2 linked regions of the Schizosaccharomyces pombe genome follow. The gene in region 2 interacts genetically with the main gene of each other region. Each region holds a gene or a part of one and is shown on either strand. Other genes may lie near its edges.

Region 1 (4,334 bases), 1.1 Mb from region 2:
CCACAGGCATTTTTATCCATGGCGTTTCTGAAAGGCATTGAACGTAAGCTTGTAAAGCAAGTCGTCGAGATTCACGTAACTTTTCATTTGTCACAGTTGAAGAAACCCAAGATTTAGAGGGGAGTTTGCAAAGTCTACTGTTGTAGTCATTTGGCCGAATTTGAGCATCCAAAGCAACGAATTCATTGAACCGACGAAATACAACATGTTTCCCACCATTCGGAAATGCTACTTCAATATGGTAAACCGTCCATCGTGAATATTCATCAGAAGACTAGTTGTAAGTAAAAATTAAAGGAATAAAGCTTACTTGAGACGTTTCTGGTATTTTAATTTTTAGCGCCATACTTGCTATGAACAGGTTGATCAACAATGAGTTCATGAACAACAGACTACTGTATCGGATTTACTGCACTATCGTTATAAAACTGTATAATGTAGAATTTGAGCTTTCAAATAGTATAGGTTCTATTAGTTGAATAAAGATAAATTTCAGTTTCATGATGCTTTAGATCCTTTAAACCTCATGTTTTCCTTGATGCGCGAGATGCCTTTACGATTATCGAATTGGCAGGTATTGAAAGAAAGTTTACCAGTTTGCAATAGATTTAGAAATTAAAATAATGAATTAGGTTAGTATATTATCTTATACCTTTAAACACTTTATAGTCAGATTATTGAGTATTTTTTTTGGCACTCGTGAACGGTGCAACTTACAAGTAATTACAATACCTAAACAGAAGAACGGCAAAATCTTAACGAAGCTTAGTAATAAACAGAAATTGTTTATTTTCTATATTTTCCTACATGGATTGGTTGCAAGCGCGACTTGCCTAAAGTATTAAAAGCACAGAATAAACGCCAGATCGTAACATTATGCAAAAGTGTAAGTATAGGTAGATTCCAAATAACAACAGTACTCTGATATGCATAAAGATTTTTCACTTAAAATACATGTCATGTAAATATAAAGGCCCCACAGATGATATATAATAGTACTAGTGGAACTTAACAACTGTTTTTTCATATCACGAGAGGGAAAAATATACAGCGAAAAGACTTCTCACATTTGCTTAAAGTATAACCATATACTGCTTTTGAACGATCATCCAATTCAAACTATGCGACCCTAATAGATGAGAATAAAGGACGAAACATCCCACAATGGATATCTTTTAAAAGAGTTCGGAATCAATTTGAAACCACAGTCATTAAATTACATATATTCATAGTCAGTTCCACACATGATGTTCAACTCAGAAAGAAGAAATCTGCCTCCTTCATCAGAAATAAATTCCACCGTGAAAACGAAAAATGAAAAAGAGAAGAAAAAGGGCATTAACCTGATGAAAAAAGTTTGACGTTACCTCACTGAAATTATTGAACACGAGTAAAGACATATAGACAAATTTGGAAAATCCCATAACAGATACAATGAATTAAGATAAGCCCATGAGAACTTCCACCAGGAAGTAAACAACCAACTAACTACATTACAAGAAAAAAAATGATGTAAAAGAAACAGAACTCGAACTTTACAGAGACAATGCCCAGCAGATAAAAGTGATAATCCAAATTTGTGACAAGTAAGCACCCACCACTTGGAACATGGCGGACCAATTCATTGAAAACAAAATTGAATAAGGAATAAAGCAATTCCACAGAGTAAGGAAAATCATCAAAAATAATGATTGGGGAATAGGCCTTTCACTAAACACGACTCTTTGAATAACGTAACCAATTGGTACATGGGCAAGATATTGTAACGGGAGCGGAGGGGCAACGAGACTAGTAACAACGTTATGGGAGTTTCCAAGAATAAGACCGTTTAAGAATATCTTTTGTGATATATAATTAAGCACGCTGATCAATACACTCGCCATAATTGTGAATAGGAAAGAGACACTATACTGTGTGTTGACTTGGTTTGAACATTTGATGGGGTTAGCTCTAGAGAAACAGCGCGCCACTAGCAAAGAAATGGCGTCAATTATGAATGCCCAAGCAATTTGACTCAAAGGAGTAAGGTAGTAGGTCGAGAGAAGCACGTATACTGGATATTTCGTAAGTAAAAGCCATCCATAACCTAGGTTGAATTTCTGCAACAGAAGAGATTGACCAACGTGCATAATAATTGATAAATAACTCTTTCAATCCATTGTTAGTAAATCTAAACTTATATAATGATCTGCATACCATCCAGTAAGGAATATCACTTTCCACCACCCCCGTGGAAGCTAATAATCGTGGATTGAGGTGATAATTTAGCAAGCCATAAGTTAACGTGTGTAAAAATAGGTAAATGGACACCTTTATGGTGTTTGAAGACGAACAGCACTTCGATCCTGACATTTTGCGAATATTGGTAGTTTTCATATAGTTTGTCATCGATGAACACACAAGTAACGATTGATCAGGTAACAGTATCTTCAAACAATGGAGTCTGTGAAATGGTAAATAATGAATCAGCAGGAAACCAGGATCCTTTGAATTTAGGTAGTAAGTCTATGGAAAACCAAAATTATATTTTTCTTGAAATTCCGTGTTATTAAATCTCTAGGATTAGTTTGCAAGAAAGTGTTCTCCGTGCAAACATTAGAACCGTGGGATTTTAAGCATAAAATGGGTACAAAATGAAATATAAAAACAAAGAATGACCGATGCCTTTATTACCATGAATAATTATGTGTTTTGAATTATCCCTAAAAAAAAAAAACATTACCTTTATTTTCACTTTATTAAAATAATTTTAACTTATTCATGGAGTTGGTTCATTAACTTAAATGATCGTAAATAATAATCCAAAAAACCTTATACTGCTAATTTACTAGTACCTTTTTTTTTATTTTATTCTTTTTTAAAAAAGAAAAAAGGGGAAATTAGCGACATATATTATGGACTTAAATTTTTCTAAGTACATTACTTTACGTATATGCAACGATTAAAATCAAACTGAAGTAAAAAGGTGATTTTTTATAATTCCTAAAGTCAAACAAAATAATTATTTAATAACATAAAAACCATGAGGTGATTGACTTGAGCGGTAATTTAATATATCAAATAATTTATGTTATTTCAAATCTCTCTTCCCTTAATAATCTGATAATCTATAGTCACTGAGAACACATATATAATAAAAAATGTGCTATTTCAAAATATTTATTCCATTATAGGTAGCTTCATTTTTCATGAGAGAATCGCCAGTGTATATTGAAAATTCATAAAAATAAAAAGCTAAATATTTCGGACAATTGAGACAAAAAAACCTATAAATATATATGTACATATTAAAATAATTTTTTGAAATTTATTAGAATAATCAAGCTCAAGCTTTTGCATTGAAAAGAATTTATACATAAAACATGAATGTCTAAGTATAAAAATTTGAATTAACTAGTTGCTTATATTTCTACCTTTGACATAATGTTATTAAAGAAAGGAAATAAATACATCTGAACGAAATAAATTATAAGTTTATAGGTAAAATGGTTATACAAAGGTGGAAGTACTGTTGGCGTAACTTATTTTTCTGAAGCATTAATGCAAACACCAAACCCGTGCCAACATTAATACTCCATATCTGAAAGAGATAAGTTATTCTATATAGTAAAAAGCTAAATGATTATCAACAAAGTCGATACAATTGCTATATCGGATTTTATATTCACTGATACTCAAAGAATATCAAAATACAATTACTGCATTCTTTACAAATTCTGGATTTCTTTTTGGTTTAAAAAGAATTCATTGAGGCGATTTGAGGATTAGCAGCATATATGTCAAACATTTAAAAGTGTAAACAAAGTATAGAAGAGCTAGCAAATAGCGGAAAAAGGAACGCCCAAAAACTTTATTAATATTAAATATAGAAATTTCTTATGAAATGGCAAGTTTAATTCAAATATGCCAAAAATCTCCTTGTTTTAACAATCGAGAAAACACAGGAATTCACAAAATAGCCATGTACTTGAAAGTCCTTCATCGCGAATGTATTATTGCATTTAACATATATTGTTCCAATTGTACTGCCAGACAAACCAGAATAATATTTTTAACAACATAGCGTGTTCAAAAACTCAACTTGACTTTTCATCAATTAATCATTTTTTGTCGAAATCGTTACAAGTATTTGAGAGAGCGTAATGATTACATTACTTAAATCCAGCTGATGATGTACAAAAGATAATAATTGCGGTTTTTGAAAATGAAAGCGAAGTTTAGAAAAGGGCTTGCTATGTGCATACTGAATGTTTAAGCAACATAAAGACGATTCTATTCGAAAACCGTGCAGAAATACAAGACTTGCTGTTTCGTTTGCTAGATCAATCGATAGT
Region 2 (4,203 bases):
AACTTTTTTAAATAATAGAAGAATTACACTTTGACCCTTTCTCCGAGGTTCAGGCTAAGCCGCCAATTTGATGTTCCCGCAATTAACTCCTCGAATTTATGAGTGATGGCTTCAATAGGGTATTCATTTGTTCAGAGTATTCAATTTAGTTTCTAGTCACACTTAAACATTTTGGAAGTATTAAAAATTACAGAGATTGGTAGCAGACGATTTTACAGCATGCTCGAAATAGAAGCATTAAGAAGAAATTGCAATATCACTCAGACTAATGAAATCCTTCTAAACACGAAAACATAATCTAAAGAATTGCTAGTAATATCACAAATTGCTGATAATTAGAAGGTGTTTACATTTATGGCAACAAAGATGAATGATCTAGCAAAAGAGAGTTTCAGACCAAAGAAAGTTGATGCTTTTCACTTTATAGATTACTCAAGTATCTACTTTAAACGGAAGTAAACAAGTTACGAAGGTAAAAAATTTCAAACATTTACAATCTTAAATTAATAAACCTATGCTTCAAAAAAAGACAGGAGTTACTCTTCTAATAACACTTCTTCACTAACTAGTTGTACTGGATGTTCTGTAACGAAAGAATGGACTGGGTTTGCAGTTTGGATAGTGTATCCAGCTCTCATAAAATTTGTTTGCTTTTTGCAAGCTAAACGTTTGACAATGGTTTTTCTTTTTCAACTTAAAGCACTTTATGCCCCATCAATTAGTCCTTCTTACTGGAAACTATATTTTTCTTGTCAGTTTGGAGTTCAGCAACTTGTCAACTACCCACCACTTTGGGAAGTGGTTAAAAATAAGCAATGCGGAATGACTGAGACTGGCAGAACCAGTAAATATCGTGTTGAAATTCAACAAATGATGTTCATTCTAGGGGAGGTGCAGGATCCTCTCCCAGAAACCACACAATTAGTCGAAGAGCTAATACGTGGACAAGTGATGGAGATGTTAATTCAGGCAAATGAGCTAGCTTTACGACGTGGCTCAAGATCTATTACTGTGGAAGATTTATTTTTCTTAATTCGCCATGATCGTGCAAAGGTGAATCGACTAAAGACATACCTGTCATGGAAGGAAGTGCGCAAGAAAGCGAAGGAGCAGGATGCCAATCCTGCCGATACAAAAGATCTTTTTGAGGAAGTAGATTCAAAAACAAGGTCAATGAATGCAGTTGCTATGCCTTGGGAAGTAAAAAATATGTTTACAGAGCCTGTACCGGAAACAGAAGAGTTTGAAGAAGATAACGATACGATGGAAATGGCATATGCGACGCGACAACGTCTTAAAATGGCAGATGAACGCACGAAGAAAATGACGCGTGAGGAGTATGTTCATTGGAGTGAATGTCGACAAGCCAGTTTTACTTATCGAAAAGGCAAGCGATTTCGTGAATGGTGTGGCATGTCTATTCTAACAGATACTCGCCCTGATAATGATATTGTAGATATACTTGGCTTCTTGACCTTTGAGATTGTGGCTACCTTAACTGAGGAAGCACTGGCTGTGAAAGATCGAATGGATCGGATTCAAAATAGCTCGGGTAGTGGAGGCTCTCATGCAGCGCATCATCCGAAAAATTGCAGTTTATTTGATGGACTTACTGAGGGGAGAACTCCCCTTCAAGTTTCTCATGTTTTAGAAGCTTTTCGTCGTTTGCAAATCCCCGATAAAACTCATACTGCTATGCGCAGTTTTCATGGGGGTTTGGTCAAATCTCGTGTGTATCTTATCTAATCATTTTCACTGTCTCTTCTTTTTTTTTAATTGCTGTAAGGCTTCCATTTACATCTAAATGCCCTGTTTTCCTGTAATTACCCATACTAGGTACGTATATGTTATTATCCCCATTACTGGTTCTCCTTGAAACAATATGGTTTAGATCTTACGAAAGCCCCTTTACTTTATGGAGATATTAACTACTCAATATATTTCATCACATTAGACTGTTGTCTTGCATCTCCGATTGAATTCATAATTTTATTTCTATCTTTCCACTAAGCGATATTCTTAATTGCAGCAGTGGTAGTATTTGGACTTTTGGATTTTTTAATATCAAATTTTTCTTATTATACTGGAATCTCATGATATCTGTGAATATTTGCAAATCTTCTTACCAAACTTCGTTTACTCTATACAAACTGCTGATTTTCGTAATGAACAAGGGGATCATCCTTTTGATATCGTCAGTGCGAAATTTTTAAAAAACAAAGGGTTTCTTTACGTTTTTTTTTTGTTTTCGAGAACATTTGAACTTCATCACTGAGCGTCATTTTGATCATACCTTCCACCTTAACATCATACATACGCCAACTCCAAGAATAACCGAACATTCGTATTCCGAAGCACTCACAGTACTTAAGAGATACAAAATTCAGGAATTTTAAAGACTTTTTGATTTATTATAATTGTAATTCTTTATAATTTTTTGCTATCCGAAGAATTCGCTCAACAAGATTACAACATGACATCTGGATCTCCCAAAATTACAAATTTGCTGACTCGTGTGAAGCGCATCATTCCACCACTTCTTGATACCTTCCACAAAGGTCAAGCCGGTCGAGTTGGTGTTTTTGGGGGTTGTCAGCACTACACAGGTGCTCCGTACTATTCTTCGATGTCGTCGATGCTCTTCGGCAGTGACCAAAGCCACATATTTTGTGAAAAAGAAGCTGCAAATGTCATTAAAAGCTATTCTCCTGATCTGATTGTTCATCCATTTTTACGTGAAAAGGACAAAGCTGGACCAGAAGATAGTGTCGATAAATGCTTTGAACTTATAAAGCCCATGATGGGAAGATTGCATGCCATCGTAATTGGGCCTGGATTGGGACGTGATGAATGGATGCAAGAGATTATGGCCAAAGTAATTGAGTATGCGCGCAAAAATGATATGCCTATGGTTATCGATGCTGATGGCTTGTGGTTAATTCAACAACGTCCCGAATTGGTTTCGGGTTATCATAATGTAATTTTAACACCTAACGTTATTGAGTTCAAAAGACTTTGCGACAAGCTTGACATTAAGAGTGACGGACCCGATGCTTGCAATCAGCTAGCTGGCAAACTAAATTTGCTCATCATTCAAAAAGGCCAATCCGATATTATTTCCGATGGCGCTACTGCATATGCTTGCTCCGTTCCTGGTGGTCTTAAACGTTGTGGTGGTCAGGGTGACATTTTAACTGGTATACTTGCTACATTCCTTGCTTGGAGACATGCTTATCTTAGCAAAGAATGGGATACAGAAGGTAATATGGATGCTAAAGAATGTCTCTTCCTTGCCGCATTTGGAGCCTCTGCCTGTACTCGCTGGTGCAGTCGTTTGGCGTTTAAGGAATGTGGTCGTGCAACTCAATCAACTGACCTGGTCAGACATGTGGGTAAAGCGTATAATGCGTTAATGGAGGATGAGATACCGTCTGTCGAGGAAAAAATAAAAGATTAAAAAAAAATAATATTTAAAAACCAAGAAGATAAAGGACCCTTAAACTAATAATTGACTTTTTTGCTTGTTTGTTCCCTGGAATTGACATTATTACCATGTTTTCAAGTCTTGGTTCAAATTCCCAAGCAAAGGGATACCTTAAACTTAGTTACTAGGAATGACTGAAACGAAAATACCAGATTATTAATGAAATAGCGTATTTAATTTTAAAAACCATGTTCAAAATAAACATTGCATAGTCGTTGGTATCATTGTTGTTGAGGAAATTTGATGTAGCTGTCACCGTTTTTATTTATTGTAACAGACAAGGGCAAGCAGACTCTTCTTTTTGATTCGTAATTGTCATTATTTACATTATCAAATTTAACGGAAATTAGTATTGTTCCTAAGTTTTACTATAAGACGATGTATCTATGAGCACGACAATAGCTTCGGAAACCAATTCAAACCTTCATATAATAGTTAAATTCTAATATTCTACGATTTAGATATCTAGATTATTAATCAATTCCTATCTTGACCTCAACGTTGTATTTTCATTCTACTGTTTTTCTTCTTGGAAAGTCATAATTGACAATATGGAATATTGAAATGCGTTATCAATTAAAAATGTTACTATTTAATTTGAAAAAAAGAAATGTGAGATAAAAAGAAAGAACATGGATAATAAATATCTCTTTTATGGGATAAAGATGCACAGATACGATTATTTCGAAAACACGGTGATCACGGCAAAGACCCCGTAA

The links.
Region 1: mutations in nnr2 (region 2) and bqt3 together harm fitness more than expected from each alone (negative genetic interaction), as found in Schizosaccharomyces pombe (one large-scale study listed by BioGRID).

What each region holds. Positions count from the first base shown.
Region 1 is NC_003421.2:366,644-370,977, forward strand, and holds bqt3 (bouquet formation protein Bqt3), read right to left. Parts: upstream 2,375-4,334; 5' UTR 2,353-2,374; coding exon 2,197-2,352; intron 2,148-2,196; coding exon 1,536-2,147; 3' UTR 803-1,535; downstream 1-802. Other genes in the region: vsl1 (SNARE protein Vam7), read right to left, coding at 1-274, 311-346. UniProt on the Schizosaccharomyces pombe protein: Connects telomeres to the nuclear envelop (NE) during both vegetative growth and meiosis. This connection ensures clustering of telomeres to the spindle pole body (SPB) when cells enter meiotic prophase.
Region 2 is NC_003421.2:1,442,180-1,446,382, forward strand, and holds nnr2 (NADHX dehydratase Nnr2), read left to right. Parts: upstream 1-2,309; 5' UTR 2,310-2,473; coding exon 2,474-3,457; 3' UTR 3,458-3,703; downstream 3,704-4,203. Other genes in the region: SAGA complex subunit Spt3, read left to right, coding at 823-1,746; SPOM_SPCC61.04C (Rab GTPase-binding protein), read right to left, coding at 4,164-4,203.